Notamacropus eugenii: one gene and its partners. The protein of the gene in region 1 purifies or fractionates together with the protein of each later gene. This does not show direct contact. Links are inferred from orthologs where the notes say so. Each region holds a gene or a part of one and is shown in the gene's direction. Other genes may lie near its edges. The genes, in order: HAT1, NASP, ASF1A and ASF1B.

Region 1 (7,905 bases):
CACTAGCTGTGTCACCTTGAGCAAGTCACTTAACCCTAATTGCCTTATCCTGGGTCATCTCCAGTCATCCTGATGAATATCTGGTCACTGGATTCAAATGGCTCTGGAGAAGTGAGGCTGGTGACCTGCACAGCTCTCCCTCACTCAAAACAAAGTCAAGTGCAAGTCATGTCATCATTTCTCTGATGGCATGGTCTTTTTCAGGAACAATGGACAAAACACACACCATCAACAACCTGTTTCCTGTTAGATTAGATGAATGAAAAAAAAGATAAAACTCTTACTATGAGCAAAGCAGGGTGCTAAAGCTGAGGCTTTAAATAGAAAAGTAGGTCTCTGCTCTTAAGGAATTCATATTCTAACAAAAGGGGAAAAAAATACCTAAGAAGTTTCAGCTGTAAATTAGATGGAAAGGCCTAGTGGTCTTTAGTGCGCAGCAAAAAAGCAGATAGTAATGCATTTATCTTTGGTGTCATTGCCATCAAAATACATCCACTGATCCATTTGATGGTGCTGAGGACTTTGGCAAGAACTTTGTTCTCATATTCTTCAAAAGCTGTGAGTGACAAAGAGGTGAAGAACAAGCTTAAGACACCTAGTGTTGGTGGTATCAGGGATGGGGATCATTTCCCTAGATTGTTGAGGGACTCCAGAGGCAAGAAAGACTGTGGTCTGGGTGGCCTTTGCTATTCCCAAGACTCTTGGGCCTATCTGCCTAGGTGGCGCTTACTATGAATGGTAGCTCGAATGACAGCAGGAATTTCAGTTTTGTAGTGATGCTCAGTGCTCTCTAAATAAAAGTTTCTGACTAAGTTTTCTTTTTTTCAGGACACTATTCAGGAAGCACTCAACAGAATTTCTATTTGTTACAATGAAAATCATAAGTAATTGATAGAGAAATGCCATTTAAGACAATGAGAAAATATCAAATACTTGGGTATTAACTTATAATGTCATTTTTACAGAAATTGAGGAAGAATCAATTAATTAGAGTCAAAGTATATGGCTAGTCTGAGCTAATACAGTAATGATGACATTACTCAACTTTAATATAGGCTTAATATAATATTAATTAAAAACCCAAGGAATAGCTGATAGAAAAATGCAAATTAAGATAATTAATATGGAACAGAAGGTCAAGAATTTCAAAGGAAAGTATGGAGGGGGAAAACTGGAAAGAGGGACTTCTATTACCAGATCTCAAATTATACCTAAAGGAATAATTACCAGAACTATCAACAAAATAGATTTGCTAACCAGGAACTAGTTCCAAATGCATTCAAACGACTAGATTAGTGTTTGGTAAATCCATGACAAAATAAAGGAGTAAGAATGAATTATTTAACAAAAACTGTTGGTAAAAATTAGATAGCAGAATAGTTTTTTAAAATAAGCTTAGGATCCACAATTGGCCATATGCCACAATAAATTCCAAATGGGTCAATTTGTCTAAATATTTTTTTAATTGAAGATAATGGAATGCAATCAATTGAAACTGTAAATAGACAATTCTTAAGCTATTCAAGTAGAAGTAATCCCAGGAAACAAAAATAGATGGTGTTCATATACTAAGTCTGGTACAGCAAAAAAAAAAAAAAAAGTAATGCATTTAAAATAAAATTTAATTTTTAGAATGAAAAAAAAAAACAGATTTGGGATGAAAGACTATTTTCAACAAACATTTCTGACCAAAGTCTGACCTCCCAAATCAACAAGGAATTGGCCCAAATTTATGAGATCCATTCTCCAATAGATAAAATGCCCCCCAAAATGTAAAGAGGCAGTTCTTAAAACAAGAAATACAAATTCCATTTGAAACTATAACATCTACTGAAACACTATTATAAACATATAGTTTATTGCTTTAACTTTCATAATGTACTTTGCACTTTTGCTCTTAACAGTTTTACTATTAATTAGCCTTGTGAGGAAAGAAATTCTTTTATCTTCAGAGTATACTATGTACCTAACACCTATATGGCAATTTTGTAAAGGCTACTGCCGGTGATGTTTTTTGTTTGACCCTGTAAGAAGAAACCGTGCTAGGTAGATACTGTTGTTTTTAATTCAGTGAATAAATGTGTTACATGACATTAGAGGCAACATGTCAGAAACACACTGGACCTATATGCAGAAAATATGAGTTTGAGTCACAGTTCTACCACTTTTTTAGGTAAATAACTCTAAGTCTCAATTTCCTTACTGGAAAAATCAAGTCAACATATAATTTTTGAGTACCTACTATTTGCAAAGCATTGTGAAAGTTGCTGAAGGGGTAAAGATAAAACTGAAAGTCCCAGTCCTCAAAGAGCTTGCATTCTACTATTCTATTCTATTAATATACACAATTAATACAAGGAAGCTTGAGGAGGGAGAAACCACCAACAATGGGAAACTTGAAGAAGACTTCACAGAGTAAGTAGCACTGGAACTGAGCTATGAAGAAAAATGGAGTCTGAGAAGCAGTGATGGAGAATTCATTCCAGGAATGGGGTAAGGCTTGTGCAAATACATTAAAGCATAAAATGGAAAGCTGAAATCAAGGAACAGCTAGCAGTTCTGTTTCTTAGGATTTTAAAGCAAATGAAGGAGAACAATGAGAAATATAACTGGAGAGGTAGGTTGACACCAGATTGGAGACCTTTAAGAACCAGTCTAAGGAGTCTGTATTTATTCTAAAGAATATGGGTAACACCGAAAGCTACTACTAAGCAGGGCAGCAACATGATGGGGTTGATGTATACTAGTTATCTACATTGCAGGTTTTTATAAAGAAACTGCCTTCAAAAACATATAAATGATGGTAGCTGCTACTACCAGTATTTACTATTTCTTCCCTAAAACCCTAACTTCACAGTTCTGGTCATCTTTTTAAAGATTTAGTGCAATGAAAACACTAATTCTTCTTAATGATTTCTTATATATAAACCTCAAAACTGGTGACAGTTGTGCTTTTACCAAAATTAAAATGTTGATATGTCTTTTGGAGCTTTGCCACTTGCAAAGAATTTAAAATTTTTTTATAGGGGGTCAACATTTTGCTTATATAATAATGATAACATCCTTGTCTTTTTGACTCACAATGGCCTATATGGGGCAGCTAGGTGGTGCAGTGGATAGAGCACCAGTGCAGGGGTCAGGAGGACCTGAGTTCAAATCTCACCTTAGACACTTGACACTCACTAGCTGTGTGACCTTGGGCAAGTCACTTAACCTCAACTGCCTCAACCTGGGTCATCTCCAGTCAACCTGATGAATATCTGGTCACTGGATTCAGATGGCTCTGGAGAAGTGAGGCTGGTGACCTGCACAGCCCTCCCTCACTGAAAACAAAGTCAAGTGCAAGTCATGTCATTATTTCTCTGATGGCATGGTCTTCTTGGGCAACACAGGACGAACACACACAATTCCCTATGTATAAAATCTAGATTACAAAACTATAACACAGAGCTAGAAGGGACCTGAGAGGTCAAATTTCTCATTTTATAGTTGAAGAAACCAAAGCTTAAAGAGATTAATTTACAAAAGGTCATTCAGCAAGTTGCAGGGCTGGTCTTGGAATCTAGGTCCTCGGATAAAAACTCCAGGGCTCTTTGCATTATAAGAGATGCTATTCAGGAAATGTAAACTCAGAAAAAGAGATGGGCTGATCCTGTAGAATAAGCAAGGGATTACAGATCGACAGTTTAAGTGCTGTACTAGTAGTCCTTTTAATGTAAGTAAAAATACCTGAATACCTGTTGTCAACATTTTGTGTGTGTGTGTGTGTGTGTGTGTGTGTGTGTGTGTGTGTGTGTGTGTCTCTTGGCAGTCTGGTGAAGCCTATGATCATCTTCTCAGGATAATGTTTCTAAATACATAAAATAAAACTCATATGATTACAAAGTAAGTCGATTGTACTGAAATACAGTTATCAAAACCTAGTTGTTGGTTTTTTAATCACACACCCGAGGTTAAGAACCTTTGACTTAGAGGAGGCCTTCCCAGCACATTGGGTAGATTCTCGGTGGAGGATCTGTGGAAGAATATAAATGAGAGTCAGACAGGATGATGGGGTTTGCAGTAGATTGTGATCAGTTTTTTATTCAATGATACCTCCACGGAAGTATATGATTTCAAGGGCAAAAGAGGATCCTCAATAACCTTGCTCTGATTCTAGCTTTGGTCTCATAGCTTTAGTCATGGCTACAGAATTCTTATGAAGCTCAAAAGTGGGGGGGGAAGTAGTTAAAGAAACTTTCCTCTCCTGATACCCCCAAGTCTCGGTCCTTAAAGCCATCTGCGGTTTCGTGCATGACTGACACATACCAATAGTTGAGAAAAGTCGTTCCTTCGTAAACAACGTTCAGGGCTCTTAAAGGAGCGTCATTCTTCAGGAGAGTAAATTACCTACAACTATGAAATATTAGGAAGCCCAAGGCCCCAGATCTGCCAGGGTCTTACCTCTTTTGTCGTACAAGCCTTTCGGAACCGCACAACACATTGTTGTGCCTGTCACATCGTAAGCACTTCATAGTGCTCGCTGCTTAGATAACTACTCCAGAAATCATCGCTTCAATGCACTGTTTCCTATTGATCCCACAGTGAATTTATGGAGAAAAAAATCCATATAACTTACAGGTACCGGTTCACTTACGGGCTTGTTTACCGTTTGCTGTAAGAGTTCCCCCCTCCCCCTCAAAAGCATGTCAGCTTTGAGCCTTACAGGGGACAGTTTAAAGAAGAGACAGAGTAAACTTCTACGATTTTGCGGTGGCCCACTTTAAAGAGAGAAAGGGGACGAGAGCATTAATACCAGGTTTTCAGAACGGACGCCAGAGGCCGAAAGTAAGCCCTCCCGAGGGGGGCGGGGTTATTCAAATGAGCCCTTCACAAACTCCTCAAGAGCAGCGACTATTCTTAGCACTCGTCAGGGGCTGGGGATCCTTGACCTCCGGCTTCGCCTCGCTAGAGGACAAGCGGGTCAGCCCTCTTGGTTGCTAAGCAACAGCGGGCTGTCTGCCGCTCGGTTCCCCCGCGCTTCCGCCCCAGGAGTCCGCCGGCCGCGCGCTCTAAACGCTCGCTCTGCAGCCCGCCGGCCGTTCCGGGAATGGGCGGAAATACGTCACTGCGGTGCGCTCACTTCCGGGCAGGGAGCGCGCGGGTTGATTCGTTCTCCTCGGCCGCTTCAGCCTGCTGCACGGAAATGGCGGGTAAGTTCCCGGGAAAAGTTTGCCTAGAGGGAAAGGGGGCGGGGAGGCCCTGGGACGGGATGCTGAGGTGGCTGCGGCGGAGACCCCAGCCGGCCCGGGGTGGGAGGAAGAGGGGTGGTCACAGCGTCCTGTGCGCCCTGCCGTCGGAGGGCAAGCTCCGGACTCTAGCTCTCGCTCCCTTGCGCGTCTCTCCTTTTCGTCCTCCAGTCCCGGTCCAGACCTCGGCGCCATCGGGGCCGTTCGTGCCCGGGGCAGCCGGAGAGCGGAGGGCAAGGTTTTGGCCGGGAGGCTCCCTCCTCTGCCCGACCCCTTCGGCATTTTTGGCCCGGCGTTCGTCTTGCCCCTCCCCCTCCCCCTTCCTCGTCAGTTCGGTCGCGAGCGCCCCTCCTTCCGCCGGCTGACAGCGACACCTCCCAGGCCGAGGGCCCCGCCCAGCCTCTCTTCCCGCGGTTTTGGGACCGCCTGCCCCGCGCTGTCGGACCTGCTTGTCGTCACCTCTCACCTGGAGGCCGCTTCAGTTTAGGGTCTCTCAGCCCCGTTTGCCTGTAGGTCGGGAAGCGGGATGTTGTGCACCTCCCAATCCCTGGACTTCCTTTTAGGGTACCAGTGCGGGGGAGGGGAAGCTCCCCCCAAGTATATTATGTTGTATTGACCCTGCTTTGCCTTCTCCAGCCTCCACACTTGATGATAGTCTGCCTCGATTTGGCTTTATCTCTGTGGTGGACGTTTTCAAACCGTTATAACAAGTGTAGGTACCGGCCTCCCGTGTAGAATAAAAGTGCCTCGTGGGCTGAAACTTCTTTCGGAAACATTAACGTTGCATTAATGTCTGCCTTTACCTGCCTCCCATAAGAAAATTCTTAATGCCTAGTTGATGTTTTAAAGTTTTATGAAACACTAGACCCCTAAGTTCATTTTTTAATCATACTAATTTCTTTTAAAAATTACTGGGTTTTTTTTTTTTTTTACTGTAGTTTGAGATATAGTATTCCTGGGTCTCCTTCCTTACTATTTCTTATTATTTCCCATGAGATTCTTGATGTATTGTTCCTCCATATGAATTTGTTATTTTGTATACTTCCATATAGTAATCATTTGGTACAACTTTAAATAAGCAAATTAGGCAGCTAGGTGGGGCAGTGGATAGAGCACCAGTGCAGGAGTCAGGAGGACCTGAGTTCAAATCTCACCTCAGACACTTGACACTCACTAGCTGTGTGACCTTGGGCAAGTCACTTAACCCCAACTGCCTCATCCTGGATCGTCTCCAGTCATCCTGATGAATATCTGGTCACTGAGTTCAGATGGTTCTGGAGGAGAAGTGAGGCTGGTGACCTGCACAGCTCTCCCTCACTCAAAACAAAGTCAAGTGCAAGTCCTGTCATTATTTCTCTGATGGCATGGTCTTCTTCACAAAGAAGGATGAACACACACAAAGAAGAAAATTAAGTTAGATGATATTATATTTATTAGCTCATTCTGATAACAAGCTGTTAATATACTTCCAGTTATTTAGGTCTGTTTTGATTTGTGTATCTTGGTAGATAAATTCCTAGATAGTTTATGCTTTCTGTAGTAATTTTGAATGCCATTTCTTTTTTCAATCTCTTCTTTCTGGGTGTTGATAATATATATAGATTCTGATTGTTTATGCAGACTTATTTTATATGCTGGAAATTTGCTGACGTTATTGTTTTGGTAATTTTTATTGACTTTTAAAATCTTAATTTATGTATTTTTAATTTTCAGCATTCCCTTCCATAAGTTTTAAATTTTCTACCCTCCCTCCCCAAGATGGCCTGCAATCCGATATAGGCTCTACATATACATTCCTATTAAACATATTTTTGTGACATATAGTCATGTTGTATAGAAGAATTATAACGAATGGGAGAAACCATGAGAAAGAAAATTCAAAACAAAACAAAAAAAATTAGTCTGCTTTGCTCTACATTCAGACTCCATAGTTTTTTCTCTGGATATGGATGGCGTTTTCCATCATGAGTCCTTTGGAATTGTTTTAGGTCCTTGCATTGCTGAGAAGGGCTAAGTTTATCAAAATCAATCACCACACACTGTGTCTGTTACTGTGTATAATGTTCTGGTTCTGCTCACTTCACTCAGCATCAGTTCATATAAGTCTCTCCAGGTTTTTCTGAAGTTCACCTGTTCAGCATTTCTTATAGTACAATAGTATTCCATTACAATCATATACCACAACTTGCTCAGCCATTCCCCAATTGATGGGCATCCCCTCAGTTTCTAGTTCCTGGCCACCACAAAGAGAGCTGCTGTAAATATTTTTGTGCATGTGGATCTATTCCTCATTTTTATGGTCTCTTTGGGATACAGCCCTAGAAGTGGTATCAAACAAAAGGTATGTACATTTTTATGGCCCTTTGGGCAGAGTTCCAAATTGCTCTCCAGAATGGTTTTATCAGCTCACAGCTCCACCAACAATGAATTAGTGTTCCAATTGCCCACATCTTCTCCAACACTTACCATTTTCACTTTTTTGTCATGTTAGCCAATCTGATAGGTGTGATGTGGTATCTCAGAGTTGTTTTGATTTGCCTCTCTCTAATCTGATTTAGAGCATTTTTTTATTATAACTATAGATAGCTTTAATTTCTTCTTCTGAAAACTGCCTGTTCATATGCTTTGACCATTTATCAGTTGGGGAGTGATTTGGATTGTTGTAAATCTGCCTCAG
Region 2 (7,277 bases), on another chromosome or scaffold:
TAGTTTTCAACATTCACTTTTACAAGATTCTGAGTTCCAAATTTTGTTCTCTTCCCTCATTCCCCAAGAGAGCAACAATCTGATATAGGTTATACACGTACAGTCATATTAAACATACTTCCACATTAGTCATGTTGTGAAAGAACGAGATGTATAAAGAATGAATAAACACAAATAAGATTAATAACGATTCTCCAATGGATGAGAGGTCAGAGGACATAAGGACAATTGCCAAGTATTCACAGCCACATGGAAGAATGCTCCAAACCACTACAAACAGGAGGAATGCAGATCAAAACAACCCTGGGGTTTCATCTTGTACCTGGCTAACTGGCCAAAATGACAAAGAAGGGAATAGTCAATGCTGGAGGGGTTGGGGGAAGAGAGGCAAACAGGTGCATTGCTGGTGGAGCCGCGAATCATGAAAACCACTTTGAAAAGCAACTTCTAACTGAAAAGCAAAAAAGTACCTCCGGTACCCATATTTCTGCTGGGTTTCTGCCCCAAAGAGGACATTGACAGGAAGAAAGGCCCTCTCTGTACTGTTTACAGCAGCACTTTTTGTGATTGCAAAGACCCAGAAAGAAGAGATGCTTATGCGTTGGGGGAATGGATAAACAAGGATGGCTCATAAATGTGATGGGATCTTTGTTGTTGTAAGAAATGGGTTGAGAAAAGAGAAACGGAGCGCGCACACACACACATACACACACACGCACACACACACACGCACACACACACACGCACACACACACCACTTTGTGGAGGTGGGAAGTCCACAAGTATTCACGTGCACTGCACAAATGTTCATAATTTTTTGAATGTACTTATTGGTTATGCTGAGTTTTTCCTCTTTATTTTTCTGTCATTAAAAAATACTATTTGTATGGAACTATGCTCAAAGGGCTACAAAAATGTGCACACCCTTTGACCCCGCAATATCGCTACTGGGACTGTATCCCCAAGAGATCATAAAAATGGGGAAGGGCCCACATGGACAAAAACATTTATAGCAGCCCTTTTTGTGGTGGCCAAGAACTGGAAGTCAAGGGGATGCCCATCCATTGGGGAATAGCTGAATAAATTATGGTATATGAATGTAATGGAGTACTATTGTGCCATAAGAAATGATGAACAAGAAGACTTCAGAGAGGCCTGGAAGGACTTATATGACCTGATGCTGAGTGAAAGGAGCAGAACCAGGAGAACTTTGTGCACAGCAACGACTACAGTGTCTGAGACTTTTTTTCTGGTAGACTTGGAAGTTCATTGTAATGCAAGGACATTAAAAAAAAAAAATTCCCAATGGTCTTCTAAGGCAAAATGCCTTCCACATTCAGAGAAAGAACTATGGAATTCAATCGCAGAATGTAGCAGATGTGTGTGTGTGTGTGTGTGTGTATTATGTTTTGGTTTGTTATATGATTTCTCCCATTCATTTTAGTTCTACACAACATGACTATAGTGAAAATGTATTCAATAGGAATGTATGTGTAGATCCTATATAGAATTGTATGTCGTCTTGCAGAGGCAGGGGGAGTTGTGGGGGGGGTAGGTAGGGGGAAAAAAAATCTAAGTTTTATGGTAGTAATTATAGAACATTAAAAATAAATAAAATGAATATATTAAAAAAAGAAAAAAATACTATTTGTTATAAGGGATGGCTCTCTGGGAGACAGAGTCAGAGGAGGAGGGATACTAGCAAAAACTGTGGTGAAAAAAAATCCAAAAGACATTAATATTGATTTTTAAAAAAAGAAAAGCCCACTTCGAGCATAGAATTTGGAACACAAACTTTTAAATGAAAATGTTAAAAAATAAAAAAAAAAAAAAAAGGAAAATGAATCTTGTGATTAAGCAAGGCTTCAATAGGAACCAGCCAAGGCACTTTTCCAGCTACTAAGACCAAGTATCCACTTGTACTGAATTTTGAATCACTGGATTAGTGTATCAATTTAGCCAAAATAAAAAAAAAAAAAGGTGTATTCAGTTATATTGGGGCAGCCAGTGCCTAGCGAAGACCTGAATTCAGTATGACCTCGGGCATTTACTAGATGTGTGACCCTGGGCGAGTCACTTCACCCCTAATTGCCACAAAAACGAAAACGAATAACGATCATCATTATTGGCCAGAGACTCAGGATTGAAGACTTTTTGGTGTCGTTAGCACAGAAAGCATTACTTCATCTTTCACCCTTTAAACATCTATGTTGGCCTCAGCTTTATTTGTTAAGGGTTTACAACGGACAGACCTTGTGCCAAGTGCTGAACGTGCCAGAGCAGACACCGGACTCAAGGAAGCTCCTTTCTAACGAAGGCAGACAGCTCAGCAGGGGGGCGAGGATGGGGGGCGGGGGACACAGCGTGTAAAGGGTTCGTTCTCGTTTTCAAAGGATGCCCATGGGCAGTCTTACTTGTGCCCGCTGTGCCAAGCTGCTCATCCCTTCTCCAACTCTTCTTTTTATCACTCTCCTTTCCAATGCTTTCCTCCACACTCCAGTACACCCAAACATCTTTTAGGGATGGGATCGGGTGATCCAAAAAGTTTGGGGACCCTCCCCTTCGGACTCTGCAGCAGCTAACGTAGCCTGTCCCCTCTCGGGTCTCGCTGCATTCCCTCTTCTGCCCCAGCAGGCTGACCAAAAGTCTCTCGACGCTGGGAGCCCGTTCTGTTTATTTGGTTTCCACCATTCACGTTCTCGTCCCCAAGAAGGCACGCCGCCTGACCGGGCTCCACACACGCACTCCCGCCAGGCGCACCTTCACGTTAGTCCCGCGGCACAGAAGGGTTACAGCGAAGTGGAGAAGCACGAGAAGGAAAGCCAAGACAAGATAAGAGAAAAGAAAGCGGCGGGCCCGCTCCGCGTCCCAGGCCGCCAAACCGCAGCTCGTCCTCGGGAGGTGCCCGGCTTTCCGCCGCAGGAGTGGGGCTGCCCTGGCGGCTCTGCTCGGGGACCACGATCTCCCCTCCCCGCCCAGGGGCCACCCGGACCCTCCCGGGTTCGGCCTCCCCCCGGAGCGGAGCGCTCCAGGGAGGAGGAGTCCTTTACCTCTTCCCCCCTGCCCATCCTCCCCAGTAGCAGGGAGCGCTGGCCGAGTGGGTCGGGGGTGGGCAGGGCAGAGGCTGAGGACGGAGAGAGAGAAAGAAGGGGAGGGGGCGGCGGAGCTCAGATCTCGACCGAGCCCTACTTTTCCAAGGAAGGCACGGCAGAGAGGACAGGAGGGGTGCTGCTGGGGCCTCGGAGTGGGGTGCTAACTCCCTCCAGGGATCGGATGGCCAGGAGGGTGGGGGGATCCAGGGCTGAGGACCGGAGAGGGGAAAAGGACGCAGGAGGACGAGGCAGCGGAGCTGGGCGGCTCCAGGGTCAGGACCCCGACCCTCAGCACGTAGTAAGGGAGAGGCGGGCTGGGGGACTCGGGGCTAAGAGATGATGATCCCGGCGGCTCCAAGGTGTGGGGGCAGTGCGGGGGCGCGGGTCACGGGGGCTTGGGGGGCCCCCGTGAACGAACGCCACCATCTCGCCTCGAGCCGCCCCAGCTCGGGGCACTTTCCGCAGCAGCGCCCATGCTGGCGGAGGGGAAGCCGAGGGCAGGGCCCGGGAGCCCGAGCTCCACGCCCTCCCCTAGCGTCCGGCCCCGGGAGCCCGAGCTCCACGCCCTCCCCTAGCGTCCGGCCCCGGGCGACCCGCAAGGAGCAGAAGAGTGGAGAAGAGAATGAATGAAGCGGGAAGGAGGAGCAGGGAGTTAAAGGGACTGGAGAGTTTCAGCGAAGCGCGCGACGATTGGCTGAGGCCTCGGCTTGGGGCGGCACCCAAGTAGGCCCACGTGAGGAGGAGGCCTCGGCGCTAGGTCGCCAGGGTGCGGGCGACGCTTTGAATGAAGAGCCGCGGGAGCAGTCTCGGCCAATAAACAAAAGGCGTCCTTTGACGTCACCCGTTGCTGAGGCTGGAGCCACTCTGCTCCTCCTCCCCCTCCTTTTCCTGCAGCTCCGTCACAGATCCTCAGGTCGGAGTCGACACCTCTACCAGGAACGAGAGTGTCGGAGGAGGGGAGGAAGCGAGAGCAGGAGGCGGCTCAGGCCTTGGAACCTCCTCACCCCGACCTGGTAGCCAAACGGCGCGTCTGGGGCTGCAGAGCAGACTTCAACTTCCAGCAAGCCTCGCGGTCCCTACTTCCGGAGTCCCCCCCCCCCGGGGGCGCGCAGCCTGCTGGGAGTTGGAGTCCTGGGTCACTACGGCATCTTTCCAGGGAAATGTATTCTCTCCTGGGCTGCGAGCCCGCAAGCAGAGGTAGATCTTTCGCCTCTTACCAGCGGAACCTCCGGTTTCTCCAGGGCGTTCCGAGTCCACAGAGAGCGGGATAGTGGAGGGGAGGGACCCGGGGAGGGCTGCACCTGTGCTGGCCCTTTAAACGCGGAACGGAAGTGAGTGGGCGGGGCCCAGGGCCGCGCTATATAAAGCGGCTCGAGCGACGCGGGCTCTCCAATCTGCCATTTTCTGCTTCGGGAGCTGCGGAACGCCCGGCCCTTGTCTCCCCTTCCCTCTTTTCCTCCCCTCCCCGTCTCTGTCCTCTGCGCCCGCCCGCCTCTGAAAGACCATGGCCACCGAGCCCGCCGCGATCGCCGAGCTCGCCCCAGCCGACAAGTGAGTGGGCCAGGGGCAGGAGCGGGGCGGGGTCTGCGCGGATCCGAGCCAGGGACCAGGGTGGAGGGTGGAGGCGGCCTTCCCTCCCCTCCTTTTCCCTCTCGGCTTTTTTTCTTGGTCGCCCGCCATCTTGCCGGCGCCGCGGCGGTTTCTCCATCTTACCCGCCGGGGTCCCGGGGAGGCCGGTGAGGGGAGGGGGTGCGGGGCACGTGCACGTGCACGCGCATCCCCTCAGTCCCGTGGCCATTCCGCTCCTGGGGATTTGGCGCCAAAAGAAAGCTCCCCTCACGAGGAGCGAGGCTGCTCCGGAGGGGGCGGGGCTCTCGGCGCCTGCGCGGGCGCGTGCTACCGAAGGGGCGGAGTTTCCTGGCGTCTTGGGGCGCCTGCGCAGGCGCGTGTCGTCGAAGGGGCGGGGCTACCGGAAAGCGGGAAAACTCCCATTGTCTGTGGCGGCGGAGGGGGGAGTGAGCTGTGCGCGTGCGCGATTGGGGGCGGAGATGGGGCCGCAGCGCCCGGGTTTCGGGCCTCAGTTTCCCTTTTCCAAAAACGTGCTGGACCCGGCCCGGATGGAGCTGCGCCCGCGACCTTGCACTCGCAGTCCTATTCGTAGTTCAGGTTGCCCCCTGGGACTGGGTCCTTGGGCGTCCGAGGGAGCCGCTCCGGCCGTTCGCTGGGGGAGCTTTGCCGAAGCGCATTTCTCCTGCGGGCCAGGCTGCGCGCGCCTCGGGGTCCCGACTGTCCCCCCGCCGACCCCTCCCCGGCACGGGGTCTGTAAGGCCCCGCCTGATCTCGTGCGAGAGCAGGGTTATGACCTCGCCTTCCCCTCGCACCCCAGGTGTGTGCTTCCTCTGGCCCCTCCCTCTCCTCCCAGAAGCCCCCAGACCGGGGGCGGGGGCGGGGCTCCTGAGAAGCCTGCAGTCCCTGATTGGGGCGGGAGGGGGGCCCGGGACCTGAGACCACGGAGGAGGGGGAGGGGGCCAGGCCGGCCTTTTGTTCGGTCAGTGCCTCCAGCCGAGCTCTGCTCTGGGGCCCAGCCGGCCCGCGTGGAAGACCGAGGGGCCCTGCACCCCAAATAGGGAGGGAGGGGAGGTTGGGGCTTGCTCAGAATGTAGGCCAGCGAGGAAATGTTGGTAGTGGGAGGTGAGAAGCAGCGGTACATCAAAAGAGGGAGGAGGGAAAGGAGCAGACGCCCGGCCTGGCCTTCTGGGGGGCTGCCCGCCTCTTGCCCAAAGTAGAGCAGCCAATAACTTCCAGATAGGAAGGAACCAACAGGGAAAAATGACTTTCTGGATCTGAATCTGACTAACAGGGAACTGGAAGCTGGGGCCAAAATGTTGGAGCAGGAGATCCAACCATGGGAGCTGCTCAGGAATAAAAGCCTCCAGGATAGAGAGAATCTATTCCAATGAGAAGGGAAAACGAGACTTGTCTGAAGCATGATGCAAGGTAGAGCAGGGAAGCAAAGCCAAGTAATGAATGGAGTACACCGCACTCTAAAAATAGGAATGCTAAAGTTTAGAATGAACTGAGACCGGCCAAGGCAGCCAAGAGCAGAAAGGCCTTTTCTAGTTATATTGGAAGGAGGAGGCTCAAAGCAGGAAAGGGACCTTTGCTTGGGGGAGATGGGATGAGTGACAAGAGAAACCACTGAGCTGCTCAGGTCTTGTGTCAGCAAAAACAAAATGGAAACGATGGAATAAAAATGACTGAGGGATGTTGATAGCCAGTCAGTCCTTAGTCCTCACTGAGATGGAGGAAATTCAAGCCCCCAGTGTGAGGCGGGCCTGAAATCTCTGGCATGTATGGGACTGCTGAGCCCCCATCAGTTATGTGGGACATGGGGGAAGTAATCCAAGCTTGGAGAAGGGCAGATGTGAAGGGAGCAGTCAGGTGAACTCCAGGCACATGAATTTGGCCTGGCTTCCTGTGGAAAGTCTGGAACATATCGCTAAAGAAGATGGTTGGTGAACATTGAGAGAAGCCACCCATCTGTCTCCATCAAGCACACGTTGTGCCAGGCCGATTTCATTTCCTTTCTCAATAATCTTACTAAACTCATAGATGAAGGAAATTTTTTTTTTTTGATAAAGTCTTCTTAGACTGTTCTGGTGATGACCTGGAGAGATGGGAATTGGGTGATAATTTAATCCATTGGATGCAGAACTGTGGAGGGATGGGTGAATGGACCCCAGGTTCAGGTGGTTGTTACTGGTTCAGTGACTTGGGTCCTGGGCTATTGAACATTTTTATCAATTCCATGGATAAAGGCAAACTTGGTAGGCACAGAAAACTTGCAGGTGATACAAGAGCAGGGAAGGAGAGCTAACACAGAAAAGACAGAGTGTAGGATTCCTACAGGATCTTGACAGGCTAGAGAGAGCATTGGGCTGATCTAATTAAATGATCTTCATTAGGAGTGAATGTAAAGCCTTATTCTTGGGAGTGACAAATGAGCACAAATATGGAGGCATGAGTAGACTGGAATGGAAGCTGGAGCTGTATTAGAAGGGGCATCTTTCTGGAAGAGAGATCCTTAGTGAACCTTACCTGAAGTCTCGTGTTCAGTTCTGAGCACACCAATTTAATATCATTGATAAGTTGGAGAATATACTAAGGAAGGCAAAGACTGCGGGT
Region 3 (7,751 bases), on another chromosome or scaffold:
TCTGCCAAACTGACCTCCTTGTTATTTCATAAACTCAATATATTCCATTTCCCAACTCTATCCCTTTGCGCAAGCTGGTGTCCCATGTCTGGAATGCATGTCCTCTTCACCCTCACCTTTTAGAATCCCTAGCTGGTTTCCTTCAAAGCTCAACTCATCTGGCAACCTCTTGTGGGTAGGACTTCATGATTTTCATAATTGCCTGTATTCTCTCCTTTCTCAAAATATATCTATTTATGTTTATATGTTGTATTTCCCTAGAACATAAAATCCTCTACGGCTAGAACTGTTTTTTGTTTTATCTTTGAATGCTCAGTACCTAAGCCAAGTGCCTTGGACAGAGTAAGCGCTGCATAAAAGGTTGTTGAATTAGACTGGATTAAAGCCTAATTGTTCTGAAAAAATGGTGCTATGATGAAAAAAAAAACAGGTTATGTACTTGCCCTAGGTCTTAAAAGAACCCTCCCAAGAGACTGAGGGGTAGGAGGCAGATCCTGTCTCACATGAGCAATTGCTAGATTGAGGTTATTCAATAAATACAATCTTTTCCCACATGTGGTGAGTGTATCTGTTGTGGTTAATTGAGTCTTTGATGGGAAATACACAAAGAGCTATTACGTTTGCTTACCAATCTGAAATATCATCAAGCTAGCCTCCATCCATCGTATTAATTCATTCTTCTCCTCAGTCCTCCACTTTCTTCCCTCCCAAAAATATCCATAGATTTATTCTAACAAGTCTCACAAGTATTGTTAGCTTTTAGGTAAGTAGCAAAACTTACCAAACACCACCAAGAAATAAAAGTGCTTACAAATCCTTTGTTGTTCTGAAGAAAGAAATTTTAAAATGTTGTGGCTCCCCTAAGGGTTAAAGGAGTTGTTTTTTTGGTCATTCCTTCATTTAGTAAAGGTTTCCTGAGAATCAATGCACAAAGTATTGGGCTAACTTATAAGAGATCACTTAGAGTCAACACAGAATAGGACAAGATCCCTTTCCAAAATGGACCTTCTAGTATAATGGGATAGATAATACACTTACAGAAATAACCTTCTTTTTGACCCTTTGTTTATTGAATTTTGAATGGGGAGGGGGATGGTCTTGGTTAAGAATTCAAGAAAAGCAGGTCTCTGAAATCCTCAGCCCATAACAATTAGGGCAACTAGGTGATGAAAGGGATAGATGGCAGGGCCTAGAGTCAGGAAGACCAGAGTTCAAATATGGCCTCGGATACTTACCGTCTGTGTGACCTTGGGCAAGTCACTTAGTGTGCCTCAGTTTATTAGAAAAGGAAATGGCAAACCACTCCAACATCTTTGCCAAGAAAACCCCAAATGGGGTCATGGAAGAGTGGGACATGACTGAAAATGACTCAACAACAAATGATAATTAAGAAAGAAAATAGAAAATCTGGGCCAGTAAGGAGCTGGTATTATAGAAAGATGCCAGCTCACTATGATAATCAGTGTGATCTTCAAGAAACACAGGAAATGTGCTATCCTGACACATCAGCTGAGAAGTAATGAAGGGAATGGGTTGAACTAAAGTTGAGCTATTCTGACATTACTCAAAGGGAGCCAATTTCCCCCACTCTCCACCCTACATAAGCATCATAATGGAGTTTTATGACTTAATGAGACTTCTTAAGAAGGCTGAGACTTTCCCATCAAGTTGGCTTTAAGACAAGGCTCTTTTCCAAGGTAAGATTACAAAATTCATTGAGTTGGATTTCACTCTATTTTTACCTAGTTCATAATTTTATACTTATAAAACAACAGGGAGGAAGCATAGTACCAGAGGAAACACTGGCTTTAGAAAAGGATGAACTGGATTTGAATTTAAGCTCTGTGGGACAAATCATTTAAACTCTCTGGGTCTCGGTTTCCTCTTGTGAAAAAGAAGGGATGTATGTATTGATAATGCATTTCTGCTTATTGTTAATGTAATTTTGCTTCTTAATGGGACGATCTTTCCCATCCATTAAGCCTGAGTCACATGAGTCTAAGTCATATGGAACAGGAAGGGTAGAACAATAAGAGGTGGAGCTAGAGAAAAGGTGAGAGGAAGTTAATCAGAGAGCAATCAGAGCTGGGAAAGGCTGCAACTAGTCGGAGTGGGAGAGCTCGTTTGTGATTTGTTTAAGAGACCTGGTTTGTGGGAAGTCTAAGGAGGGAAGGCTTAAGGATGGTAGTGCCCCCTGCATTGTTAGTGTGTATAGATTTCTTGGTTACTGTGATGGATTTGGCTTTCTGGTGCTGGGGATTTGGATTTTTGGTGTCTGAATAAATGTTTTGGTTCTGTCTTCCATGTGGAGAGTCTGTTGTATTTCGAGATTCAGAATTGCGCTAGCATATTCAGGCTGCCATAGGCGCTGTGAATATCACATTGGCGCTACAAGAGATTGGTCTAGAATCAAGATTCATAGATTAGGGATTCTTCAGTATGAGTGTGGTGGACCTTCCATTGGCAGTTTGGTAAAGACTATGGGGCCCTTCTCTGAATAATATTCTCAAATACTTGAAGGAAATGTTAAATTTTCAGTAAAAATTAAAGTGTAATTTTTTTTTGTCAAGTTCCCCTAACTGTAATTTCTATCCAAAGGGGACCAAGTACCCCAGATTTGATCCTATACTCTAAATGATGTCTAAGGTCTCTTCCAGTTCTAAGAACATGATCCTATGACATAGAATTTCCCTTACAATCACTATAACATTTTAGAAATTTTATTTACCATTAATAAGACATTTACAGTAAGAAAAAAAATCATTTGCAAAGTGACATTTTACATATATATTCAGGGTATCTTTCTGCACAGAGGGCAGCTTCTACATTTATCACAGTTTTCTTATGTCAGCTTGTCAACAAAAAGGAGGACTATTATTCATATGAGTCTATCATCAAAACATATAGTACCATTTGCAGTTTGGTTTCATTATTCTGACCCATATGCTGTATGTAATAACACCAGGAGGAAACCATTTTGGCTAATTTTTATATGTGGCAGTTAAATTCTTTTGTGACACACTCTCCACTAAGCACCAAATGGAACATAACCTACCTTACTTTCTAGGCTGTGAGAACCAAGATATGGATGAAGGAAGGGATCCCTACTTCAAAAGCCAGATCTTTGGAATTAAAAAATCTTGCAAAGATCATCACAATTCTTTGTGGGTATGAAGAATAATATCTATTTAAATTCAAAGACATGCATTTTTGCAAAGAAACTGCCAGAGGGTTTTGGAGCTAGAATGGGTCTTATGGAAGATCTAGTTTATTACTTTGGAAGACTGTGTGTGAAATGTGAATTTGGAGACAAAGGGGCCAAGTTTGAATCTTGATTTTTTTTTTTACTTACTACCTGTGACCAATGTGACGATGGGCAAGTCTCAATATTTCTGGAATCATTAATTTCCTTATCTTTAAAATGATGCAGTTATACAAGATGGCTTCTAAGGTCTATACTTTTAATGGGCTAATTTCTTGGAGAATAGAGAATAAATCTATGATTTCCTTGATATAAGGAATTCTTACATGGAGGAACTTCTAGGTTGGTACCTTCTCTGCAATTTCTTGTCTTCCAGAGTTGCCTAGCAGAAGGAGAGGTTAAGTATCCAGCGTCCCCCTTACCAGTATGTCAGCATGAGGACTAGAACCCAGGGGGTTATAACTCTAAACCCAGGATACTTTCCACCAAGCATCCAGTAGGATATGTATGAGATTATTTTACTTTAAATTGAACTAGGGCTGGGTAGTTCTTATCATGAATATTTTAAAACAATAGGTGCTTTGTGAATGGAATAAATGAACACTAATTTTCACATTAGTTTTGCCATATCAATAACGGCTAATAAGTTAAAAATGCTAAAATCTCACAAAACATATGATGATTATATTATAATTATATTATAATATTATATATTAAGATTAAAAAGCCCATTTGAGCAACAAAGGGCTACAAATGAAATCAACATTTTCACTCATTGGACTGGCTTTGGCCATGCACTGGCTCTTTTAACTGCTTCTGAGGGTTAAAAATATGTCTAAAAGTACTAACAGTTTGCATCCCAGATTTTGAATTACATCTACTGGCTGAAAATGCTTGTCTTTTTTGCTTTTCTCATCTCTCCAATTTTCCTCCTTTCCCCCTTCTAATTTTCATCCCCCCCCAACAAAACATTGAGATGAATCTCATTCCATCTCTAACTTTCCATTTAGAAAATGCTTTCTAGAACTGGAAAGACTTGGAGGGGATTCTCAACTTGGGGGGGCTGTGAATTTGGATTACATTTTTTTTTTGATATTTCAAAATATTTGGATTCCTTTGTCATGTTACATATCTTATTTTAGGCATTTACAACAAGATTCTGCAAAGGAGGCTTTGCATAGGCTTTGCCAGGCTGTCAGTGAAATGAGAAAAGGTTAGGCACTCCTGGATGGGAGGCCCCCTGAGACTGGAGAGGATGGTAGTTCTGCAGAGCTGCGAGCCTCAGGACTTTAAGTCAGGAAGGTGTCTTGTTTGCTAAGACGTCATGCACACTCACAAGGCACTTCCCCCACGCGTGTGGATATTCCCCTAGTGTATCTGGGCACACTGCTCTGCTGCCCTGGACAGAGCCCTTCCATCTCAGAGGAGAACGCCGGCCTTCTCTGCTCTCCTCCCCCTTCCCCTTCCCTCCTCCCCCTTCTCTTCTCCCCCTCCCCCTCCCCCTCCCCCTCCCCCTCCCTCCTCCCCTTCCCTCTCTCTTCTCTCCTCCCTCCCCCTCCCCCTCCCCGCTCCGGCCGAGTCCCCTCCCCTCCCCGATCCCGGCTGACTACTGGCCGACACGCCCTACGTGCGAGGAGCGTGGAAACAATCCCGGGGGCGGGGCTTCCCGGCCCTCCGCGGCGCTCTCCGCCTCTGGGCCGCCAGCCCGCTCGGCTCTGCCCCGCTCGGCTCCGGAGGAGCCCTCCCCGGCCTTCCTCCCCGGCTGCCGCCCGGCTCACTTTGTTCTCCGCCTTTGTCCTCGGCTGCGCCAGCAGGTGGAGCAGCCGCGAAGCCTCCGGAGCCCGTTCGGGGGAAGGGAGCCCATCTTGCTCTCCCGGAGCAGGAGCTGGAGGAGGAGGAGGGTCAGAGCTCAGCGTGCAGCCAATCGGGGCCCACGCTGCTAGTTCGCCGAGCAGAATGGGCTGTAGTTGAGGGAAATAGCAAAGCTGCAAAAACACTGTGGAGTTGTTTCCCGGTGTAAATACAAAAAGAAGAAGAAGGGGACGCGACGACGAGGAGGGAAAGCCGACCAAAAGTTTCCCAAGTCGCCGCCGCCCGCCGTTGGCCCGGGGCCGGTGCTGGAGCGGGGGCTGCGCCCAGCCAGAACACGTTGGACTCGGCGGCGCTGCAAGAACACCCCCTTCCTATTGTTTGTGCGGGGTTCCTCTGCCTCTCTCAAAATATGGCAAAGGTTCAGGTGAACAATGTGGTGGTGCTGGACAACCCTTCTCCGTTCTACAACCCTTTTCAGTTCGAGATCACGTTTGAGTGCATAGAGGATCTGTCGGAAGGTGAGTAGCGCGGGTCCCGCCAGGGGGGCTCCGGCCCGGGGCGCTTCTCCGCGAAAACTTTCCCCAGGCCTGGCGGTTCTTTTCTTCTCTCCCTCCGCTCCTTCCCAGCCTTAGCCTCCGCCGCATCTCAGGGATGGAGGAGAGGAAGGAGGAGCAGCAGGAGGATGGGCTGCTGCAGACCTGCGGCTTCCGAGGGGCCGGCGGGGCTTCGGCCGGGGCGCGCGGCGGCCGCTGCCCCTGTCCCTGCCCCTGCCGCTGCCGGAGGGAAACTTGGAGCGGGTGCGTTTCGCTACTGTGCCCTTCGCCCCGGCGGGGAGACCGAGGGGGAGCGCGGGGAAGCCGCCCGGGTTCCCACCGCTGCCTTTTCGCGAAGCCGGGCTGAAGTTGCAAGTAACTTGTTTGAGTGGTGGTAGCCATGTTGTCAGCTTTGTCTGGGTGTGGGAGAAGGGTTAACGGGAGGAGAGGAGCCCCGCGGCCCCCCGCGAGCCTCCGCGCCCCTCGGCTGCTCCCACGCGGGGAGCTGGCTCGGCCGAGCCTCCAGCGGAGACACCCGTGAAGGAGAGGGGGCAAGACCCCCCTGTCTGCACGGCCTGGGACCGGGGGGAGCGGTGGAGAGGAGGCTTTTTAAAAAAAGAGCTGAGCCTGGTGTGTGCGCGTGTCTGCTCGCCGGAGAGTTCGAAAACGGAGCCATCTTTTACCCCCGGAGCCCCGGCGTCCCCCGGGCACCTGCCCACCTCCCGACTCCCACTGGCCAAGGCCAGCACTCGCTTCAAAGTTGCACTACTTCATTCCGGGGGCCCTGGCTCCTCCTAGCCTAAGCAGAGCGGCAGGAAAAGCCGGGGCAAGCCTTGTGCCTTCCTCTCCGGCTTCCTGAGTCGAGTGGGAGGCGGGCACAGGCTCGGGCATCCACACGCTCCCTCCCTCGGAGCTCTTGCCCCTGCCCACCCCGGCGGAGGGCAGGGTGCCAGGCAGCCTTCCCCGGGGACTCTGACAGCCGCACAGAATTCGAGAGGCTCTGGAGGGAATCACCTCCACGCAGGATGGCCAGGACAAGAGGGACTCCGGGATGCTCGAGGAGAGCTCTCTGCCAACGTCCGAGCGCCATCAAGGCTAGTTAACTGTTAGCACTAATAACTCTGGGAGTAATCATTTTACAAAACTCTTAAAATGACTTTAGGAGCAAACGTTTTCCTGGAGGTTTCAGCACGCTCCAGAGTTAGGTGGAGCGCCCTGGCAGGACTCGCCGCGTGGGCTGTGCAGACCGGGGGAGAGCGCCGGAGCTCTCCCGGCCACCTTGGGGTGCTGACCCCATCGGCAAACGCGAAGCGAACACTGCCCTTCCGCAGACTCGTAGTGAGAGGACAAGGGGGTAAGGGAAGACACGTTTGGAGTGCAGGCTTGAAGTAGGACCATAGGATTCAGAGGCCTAAGGGAGCCCTAGGAGGAATCATTTAGGCCAGCGCCCCCCCCCTTACAGATCAGGAAACTCAGCCCAGGGAGGTTAAGTGACTTGTTGTAGTGAGCATTTATTTTAGGGGCTTAAAGTATTTTATTTTTGAAAGAGGAAAATTTCATTATATTTATTTTCATCTGTATGGTATGCAGAATATATACCATTTCAGATAGCATCAAATTTACCTTATGGGTCTTTTAAAAAATGTTCTCGAATTTTTTTGTAATTTTTAATTTCCAAAATGTGAAAATACTATTTCAGATTTGTTACTGATGTACTACATTGTAGGTGCTAAATTTTAATTGAGAATTATTTTGAATTTCTCATGTGGACACATCAAAGTAAACTTCATAAAGTATCTTTTCTCTTGATTATTAACTAACATTTCCTGATGTTCTCAAACTAGTTGTTAATCTTTGTGTACAGCTCTTTGAACTTGATGGATCAAGAAATGGGCCAGGTTTTAAAAGTTAACCATTAAAATAAAGCTAAATAATAGCAAAACACAGGATTGCTTTTCCGTTTTCTCATTATTCAAAAGTACCTTGTTCATTTTGGACAGCTGTAGCCTCTTAGCCACCATCAGCATGAAGTATAAAGCAAATGAACAGGTTAAAAAGGGGGGTGCAGGGAGGAATTGTCAGGAATAAGTGTTACTTATTAGTTCAGTATGAGTTCCTACGTCATAAACATATTTTTGGTGGTGCCTCCTACTTTAGGTCTCAACTTATAAGGATTATAGGAGCTCAGGACATGAATGAAGAGC
Region 4 (7,014 bases), on another chromosome or scaffold:
TAGGTACACTAATGAACTGTTGGTGGAGTATTGAACTGGTCCAAGCATTCTGGAGAATTAGACCCAAAGGGCTATAAAATAGTGCAAACCCTTTGACACAGAAATAACAATACTAGGTCTGTATCCCAAAGAGATCAAAGGAAAAGGAAAAGGACCTATGCGTACAAAAATAAAGCAGCTTTTTGTGGTGGCAAAGAACTGGAAATTGGGATGCCTATCAATTGGGGTACAGCTGAACAAGTAATATAAGATTGTGATGGAATACTATTGTGCTTTAGGAAATAATGAAAGGGGGTGGTTTCAGAAAAAATATGATGTAAAGGGAAGTGAGAAGAACAAGGAAATCATTGTGCACAGTAACAAAGTTATAACTGTGAAAGACTTGGCTACTCTGATCAATACAATGATCTAAGATAATTCTAAAGGATTCAAGATTAAAAAATACTATCCACCTCCAGAAAGAGAACTAATGAATATTCTCTTTTATTTTTCTTGCTTTAAAAAATAATATGAGTACTATGGAAATAGATTGTGCAATATAAAATTTTCTAATTAAAAAAAAGATGAGTGAGTGGGGACCACTCACAGAGGTGGGGGATGGAATAGTATCACCTGTTCAGGCAGAGGGGCTGGCCTTGGTAAGGAGTCGGATCCCCTTAGGATCTGACAGGTGAAGGAGATAGTGGCAGAACTATCTGAATGATGGGAGGTGAGGAAAAAGGGAGAAGGAACTTAGGGAAAATGGTCTTAATTTTTTTCTGTAAAATATGAGGCAAGGATCTCAACTGAGAGGGGTGGGGAAGGAGGAGCCATGGAATGTTTGAGGAGGGAGCTTTGGAAGAGAAACTGTGGAGTAGGATAAAGACTTGATAAGGGAGGTATAGAAAGATTGCCTAGCAGCAGTGAGGGCCCAGTTGAGGTTGTAGAACATAAATTTGCAGTAGACAAATAGTTGTGTAATTATAAAGTTTAATGATTTATAAAGTTTAAATTTCTTTAAAATTGTAAGCAATTATTGTCCCAATTCTACCACTTATATTTCCTCTCTCAGGCCCCCAATATTCAAATGAGGAGGTTGGAACATCAGATCTTTCCAATTGAGTATCTCCTTCCTTTCAAATATTCCTAGAGTACTTTGAACCTTCCTTTGCCCCATTACATTCTACTTTGCATTACGCTTTCTAGTCTACCCTATCCTCACTTCCAAGTAGACCTAAGTTCTTTGAAGGCAGAGACCAATATTTTTAAATATATATTTTTTTAAATTTACTTTTAGTTTTCAACATTCACTTTTATAAGATTTTGAGTTCTAAATTTTCTCCCCCTCACCCTCCTCCCCAAGATAACCTGCAATCTGATATAAGGTATACATGTACAATCATATTAAATATATTTCCACATTGGTCAGAGTGTAAAGAAGAATTAGAACCAAAGGGAAAAACCAGGAGAAAGAAAAAACAAAAGGAGAGAGACACTAGTATGCTTCAATCTGCATTCTGATTCCATTGTTCTCTGGATGTGGATAGAGACTGGTATTTTTAAACTTGGTATCCCAGTACAGTACTTATATGTACTTCAATATTTAAAGTACTTCAAATATTTTTCATCTTCAAATTTTCATCTTCAATTTCAGGTACCTTTCATACTTTAGGTCATGTTAGCCAAGATCTGTATGGTGCTTTAAAGTCAGAAGAGTACTTTACACACATTATCACTTGAGACATTCCTTCATGCAATAATTTATTAAGCATCAATTATGACCAGGGTCTCCCATTGCATCCTGAGCCATCTCCAGTCATCCTGATGAATATCAGGCCACTGGAGTCAGATGGCTCTGGAGAAGAAAGTGAGGCTGATGACCTTGCACAGCCCTCCCTCACTCAAATCAAAGTCAACTGCAAGTCATGTCATCATCTTGATGTCATGGTCCTCTTTGAGAATGAAGGACAAACACACAATGTACACAAGGCACAACTGTCCTGTGAAGAAGTGAGCTAAGTACTATTACTGCATATTACAGATGAGGAAAGTGAGGGTCTAAGATGTTAAATGATATGCCCACTGTCTCACAACCTATGTCAGAGACAGGATTAGAACTGAATTCTTACTGACTCAGTCTATACCATTCCATCCATTCAACAAGTATCTGCTAAGCGCCTACTATGTGTCAGACACTGTGCTAGGTTCTGAGCTCTAGGCACTAAATGTCAGTATCCTTAGCCTACTATGAGCTGGGGATTCTGCCAGGGGCTCTCAGCAGAGTGACTGTGGAGCTTACCGAGGTATCTGGCACATAGCAGGGGCTTAAATATTAGTTGACTTTAAGGAAACAAAGATTCACTGCTTTCAAAGAGTTTTCAATCTTTTGGGGAGAGACAACTCATACACGAATAAATACAAAACATACACTAATGGAGGGAAAGGATTAGCAAAGTGGGGGATGGAGAGGGGCACACATAAAGATTGGCCTCTTCCAGGAGATGACACAGGAGTTAAGCCTTAAAGGAAGGGACATAAAAGATGGAAGTGAGGGACGAAAGCACTCCAAGTTTGGGGGGAACCTATGTAAGGTCATATTGAGGGGAGAAAAATCACATTTGAATCTGTGTGGTAGATGACTGGAGAGGGGAAGAGACTCGTGACTGGGAGACCAATGAGGAAGCTACAGCAGGAGTCCAGGCCAGAGGTAATGAGCTTCTCTACTAGGGAAGTGGCCTTTGTGAAGGAGACTGATGGGAGGCAGATGCCAGAATGGAGATTTGGCCGGATCTGGAGAGTTGACAGCTGACTGACCATGGAAGGGAAGACAGACCGACTCGTTGAAGACTCCCACGTGTGATTCCAAGGGAAAGTTACAAGAGAAGTTCTGGACCGGTGGAGGCAGATACCTACAAGGCATCCTTTGCGTAAGTTAAACAGGCCTAAAATTCGAAATGCTGGTAGAACTCGGTGAAAGGAGCTCTGCGGTCACTGCCTGGGCTCCAACTGCCGCTACTGCACTTGCTTCCTGCGTGACGCGATGGGCCTGGGCTGGGATCCAGCCTCCGTCCAGAACAGTCCGTGTGACCTTGGGCCTCGGCTGTAAACACAAGGGGTGGGACTAAACCATCTCTGAGGTCTCAGCGGCTCCAGACACGGCGGCTATCGGACGTTTCCGCGGGCCGACCCCGGCTGCGGCACGGAGTGAGCCGGAGGTAGAGCGAACACGACTACCGGCTGCAGGCCCCGGAGGCTCCCCGGGCAGAAGGCTGGGCTTATCCGCCTCTCCGCCCAACCGCCCACGACGCTCACAAGGGGCGGAGAACGTCAGGCGCGACCGAAGACGGTGCTTGAGTGTAACCGCCGCTTCAGCACACTACGGGTTCACCTTCCGCCTGCTCCCGCCCCCTCAAGACCGGCTTGACCAATCCCCTTTGGGCACAACTCTTCTTTCTCCTCCCCCCTCTGTCAATCACTACGGGAACCCGTAGTGTTCCGCTAGCGCCTCGCGCCCCCATTCGGCAGTTAGCGGCTCTGCTTCCTCTCCCCCGCCCCCTCCGTACACCGAAGGGAAAAGGAGCGCAAACGGAAGGAAAAAAGAGGCGGGGACGAGCGCGCGTCCCGAAGGCCGTCCCCTCAACGCCAATTGGTCCCAGGGATCCCCGCGCTCACTCTGCGCTCTGCCACAACGAGTCCACTGCTGAGGCGGAGGCGCCGGGGATTGGCTGGCATCAAGAAGAGAGAGCAGTCACGCTGGGGCGCCAAAAGAGGGATGATGAGCGCCTTAACACCCCCCACACACCTCCCGCCACACACACCCGTCTATCCGCGCAGAATCGGGCGCGCGCGTGCCGGCGAGGGAGGGCAGCCGATTGGCTGGGAAGAAGCTGAACGCACTTCGACGGGCGACTGCGTATTGGCCCCTAGAAGCTCGCGCTGAGGAAAGCGTTGGAGCGGATTGGCCGGGGGGCGGGTCCGGCTATTTGAAGGGGGCGCGGGGCGGGTGAAGTGGGGGAGGGGCGGGGAATGCCGCCTCATTCTGGTGTGGAAACCGCGCGGAGGGGACGCGAGAGGGAGAGCGGAGGCGGCGGCGGCGGCGGCGGCGGCGGCGGCGGCGGCGGCGGCGGCGGCGGCGGCGGCGGCGGCGGCGGCGGCGGCGGCGGCGGCGGCGGCGGCGGCGGCGGCTGCTGCTTGGAGGGTGTGCTTCGTTCCTGCCCCCGCGAGGCCATGGCCAAAGTTTCGGTTCTGAACGTGTCGGTGCTGGAGAACCCGAGCCCTTTCCACAGCCCCTTCCAGTTCGAGATCAGCTTCGAGTGCAGCGAGGCCTTGGCCGACGGTGAGCCCCGGCCCTCCCCTTCCCCTCGGGATCTCCCAGTCTCCCCCCGCGCGTTCCTGACGGAGGGGACTCCTTTATGCTGACTCCCACGAATCGGGCTCCCGCCCCGCCCCGGTGGGATGCTAAAGCTTCCCTCTGGTATCCGCCTGCACCTTAATAAAGTGTTCTGTTCTTGGTCTAGTAGAATATAAACGCGCTGAGGGCAAGGGGCCTGTCTCTCTTGGATATTTGCCTCCCCGCTCCCCGGCCTGGGTGGTCGGCGCTTAGTTCAATGTTTGTGTTACCCTAGGCATGGCATTTTAACCCTCGGAGCCTGCGATTTCTCCTCTGTGCTTTTGAGATGATGATAGCGCCCACCAGGCTCCTTGGAAGCTTTAAAATGAGCCATAGAGAAGCGAGCGCTCGGGGCCACTGAGGCCCCGTCCATCTCTGAGGTTCTGGACTTAATATTACTGCAAAGGATTTTGTGTCAGCAGCGCTCTCAAGTAAGCCTGGATATCCACTCTTCTGCCTGGTACTGCTTCCAGCCTCCGGGAGGTTATCCCTGTTACTCTTCCCTCATTCATTTCTGTGGCCCTTTTCCACCTATTAGAAGAAGGGTTTTAATGAAATCCGAGATGGCTTCTTCCTGGATGACGTCTCCAGTCTACCCCCAACTACGCCTGATCTTTCTTGCTAGAAAGTGGTTCCTAAATGCCCCAGTGCTTGGACAATTCTTTAATCTTTCCTACCCTACACTTTTCTAGAACTGCCTGAATTAGTGTGGACCCCTGCCCTGTATCCAGGGGCTAGCTGTTACCTGGCTTGTTCCTAAAAGGCCATTTCTACTGCTCTGCTACTAAAGTAGTAGAAAGTTCCATGAGTTGAGAGTCTGTTATTTGAGAGTAGCAATAATATTTAAACATTTCATTTATATGGTGCTTTAGAAGTTTGCAAAGAATGTTATATATCTCCAAAAATGTGCTTTTAGGAGAGGGGGCTATATGGTTTTGGGAAGATAGGTATCATTTAAAATAAGTACTTGGTAGGTTGTAATTTTGCATCCCCCTCATGAAAGTACTTTTAAAGATGGTCTCATTTAACTGAAGAATATTAAAGCCAACACCATTTTCATTTTCCAGATGAGAAGGCTGAGACAGAAAAAGTAAGGTTCTCTCCTTTGAGAAAAGGTGTTCTACATATTGTACTAACAAAATGGTCAGGGTTACTCAGTGAATCTCTGTGAATTAGGAATAGACTCAAATACTCTTAACTTCCATTTTACTCTTACTAGACTATCCCTTTGCCTGTGGGGATAGCAGAATTTAATAAGGCAGAATATAGAAAGACAGAATTTAAAATCCAGGGGGTTTAGCCACTAATAAGAGCATCTTTGCCACTTGGATTAACTTACTTCAAGGGCCACACACTATTCATATAGGCCTTAGCCTTTATTATGTTTATAGTTTACAGTTTGAAGAGACTAAATTCTTAGTTAATTTGCTTAAAGTCATATGGTGAGGTGGAATAGTAATTACTAGAATTTGGATCTCCCAGCTGCTGACTAAGTGTTCTTCATTCTTGTCATATTCCTGAAGTTGGAACACTATTACCATTCTTCTCTTTTAAAAGTATGGCATAAAATTTATGGTTTAGGAAGCCTGATTTTTTTAGGTTGAGAACTAGAACTTGATAATTCCATAACTGAATCTGTTAGTGATTTGATTACCTGGGAAATTTGCATTTTCCTGTTGAATTACACTTTTTTGCTACCTTTTGCACAAAATTCTAGAGACTAGAGAGAGGGCATACTATTGCTTAAAGGGCTTAAGAAATCACAGCTTGCCAGTTTTAAGACCTAAGAAGCCATATAACAAACTGTTAACTGATCCTCTTTTTCCCTGACACAAACCATTTTTCACCTCTCACTTAATCCTGTCAACATTCCATAAAGCAACTAAAAACAACTAAAACAGCTCATTTTAGAAATCGAGCAGTTTACTTTATCCTTTGGTCCAGGATTCTCCTGAAAATACAAAAATTATAGGCCACAAGTTGTGGAACCCAGGTGTTTAGAAATAGATCTACTATACTCAGATACTCCTAAAGTTTAGCGCTGTTTTGTGGTTTTTTTTTTTAAACTGGATGTAACTCAGTTCATAAACTGAGACGGCTACCTCAAGACACAGGTCCATGAACTTGGGTTTTTGTTTTTAATTTTGATGACTATTTCAATAAAGCCAGTTTCCTTTATAATACTAAGCATTTTATGTATTTTCAAACATTATTCTGAGGTGTCCATGACACAAAAAATTAAGAACCTCTGCTCTAGACTCCAGTTAAATTGAAAAGGTAGAAAAGCACATAGTTGCTGTAGAAATGAGGAACCTGGTGTTATAGGAAAACCTTAGCAAGAAATTATCCAGGATGCATTTACCTAAGATCAGAACTCCTTCCTTAAAAGGGTACTGTACCAAGTATCTTGTCCCAAAGTAATCACATTCTGTGGAATCATGGCGCCTGAAAATTTTCCCAGGCATCTTGAGCTTAGGGTTGTGATTTTAAGATGTCTAAAACATTTTCAGGTTAGTTGCCAAATCCTTCTGCATTGCTATAACTTTGCCCTGAGTATACTTGGAACTCAAGATACTTGCTTTGGTTGGCACTGTCATTCACAGGAGATAACTGACCTATTGAACAGTTATGGCTCATTTCTCTTG

What was found.
Region 2: the proteins of HAT1 (region 1) and NASP purify together in Homo sapiens (affinity purification with mass spectrometry; 3 studies listed by BioGRID and IntAct, with this or other methods). This does not show direct contact. The link is inferred for Notamacropus eugenii from reciprocal best matches to the Homo sapiens genes HAT1 and NASP.
Region 3: the proteins of HAT1 (region 1) and ASF1A purify together in Homo sapiens (affinity purification with mass spectrometry; 4 studies listed by BioGRID and IntAct, counting the BioPlex papers as one, with this or other methods). This does not show direct contact. The link is inferred for Notamacropus eugenii from reciprocal best matches to the Homo sapiens genes HAT1 and ASF1A.
Region 4: the proteins of HAT1 (region 1) and ASF1B purify together in Homo sapiens (affinity purification with mass spectrometry; 6 studies listed by BioGRID and IntAct, counting the BioPlex papers as one, with this or other methods). This does not show direct contact. The link is inferred for Notamacropus eugenii from reciprocal best matches to the Homo sapiens genes HAT1 and ASF1B.

The regions. Positions count from the first base shown.
Region 1 is NC_092876.1:233,636,031-233,643,935, forward strand, and holds the start of HAT1 (histone acetyltransferase type B catalytic subunit), read left to right. Parts: upstream 1-4,854; 5' UTR 4,855-5,089; coding exon 5,090-5,192; intron 5,193-5,579; exon of another isoform or gene 5,580-5,737; intron 5,738-7,905. UniProt on the Homo sapiens protein: Histone acetyltransferase that plays a role in different biological processes including cell cycle progression, glucose metabolism, histone production or DNA damage repair. Coordinates histone production and acetylation via H4 promoter binding.
Region 2 is NC_092873.1:506,735,192-506,742,468, forward strand, and holds the start of NASP (nuclear autoantigenic sperm protein), read left to right. Parts: upstream 1-4,217; 5' UTR 4,218-4,596; coding exon 4,597-4,643; intron 4,644-7,277. UniProt on the Homo sapiens protein: Component of the histone chaperone network. Binds and stabilizes histone H3-H4 not bound to chromatin to maintain a soluble reservoir and modulate degradation by chaperone-mediated autophagy.
Region 3 is NC_092873.1:200,818,712-200,826,462, forward strand, and holds the start of ASF1A (histone chaperone ASF1A), read left to right. Parts: upstream 1-4,746; 5' UTR 4,747-5,423; coding exon 5,424-5,532; intron 5,533-5,996; exon of another isoform or gene 5,997-6,598; coding exon of another isoform or gene 6,599-6,641; intron 6,642-7,751. UniProt on the Homo sapiens protein: Histone chaperone that facilitates histone deposition and histone exchange and removal during nucleosome assembly and disassembly.
Region 4 is NC_092875.1:76,827,751-76,834,764, forward strand, and holds the start of ASF1B (histone chaperone ASF1B), read left to right. Parts: upstream 1-3,994; 5' UTR 3,995-4,005; coding exon 4,006-4,315; intron 4,316-7,014. UniProt on the Homo sapiens protein: Histone chaperone that facilitates histone deposition and histone exchange and removal during nucleosome assembly and disassembly. Cooperates with chromatin assembly factor 1 (CAF-1) to promote replication-dependent chromatin assembly.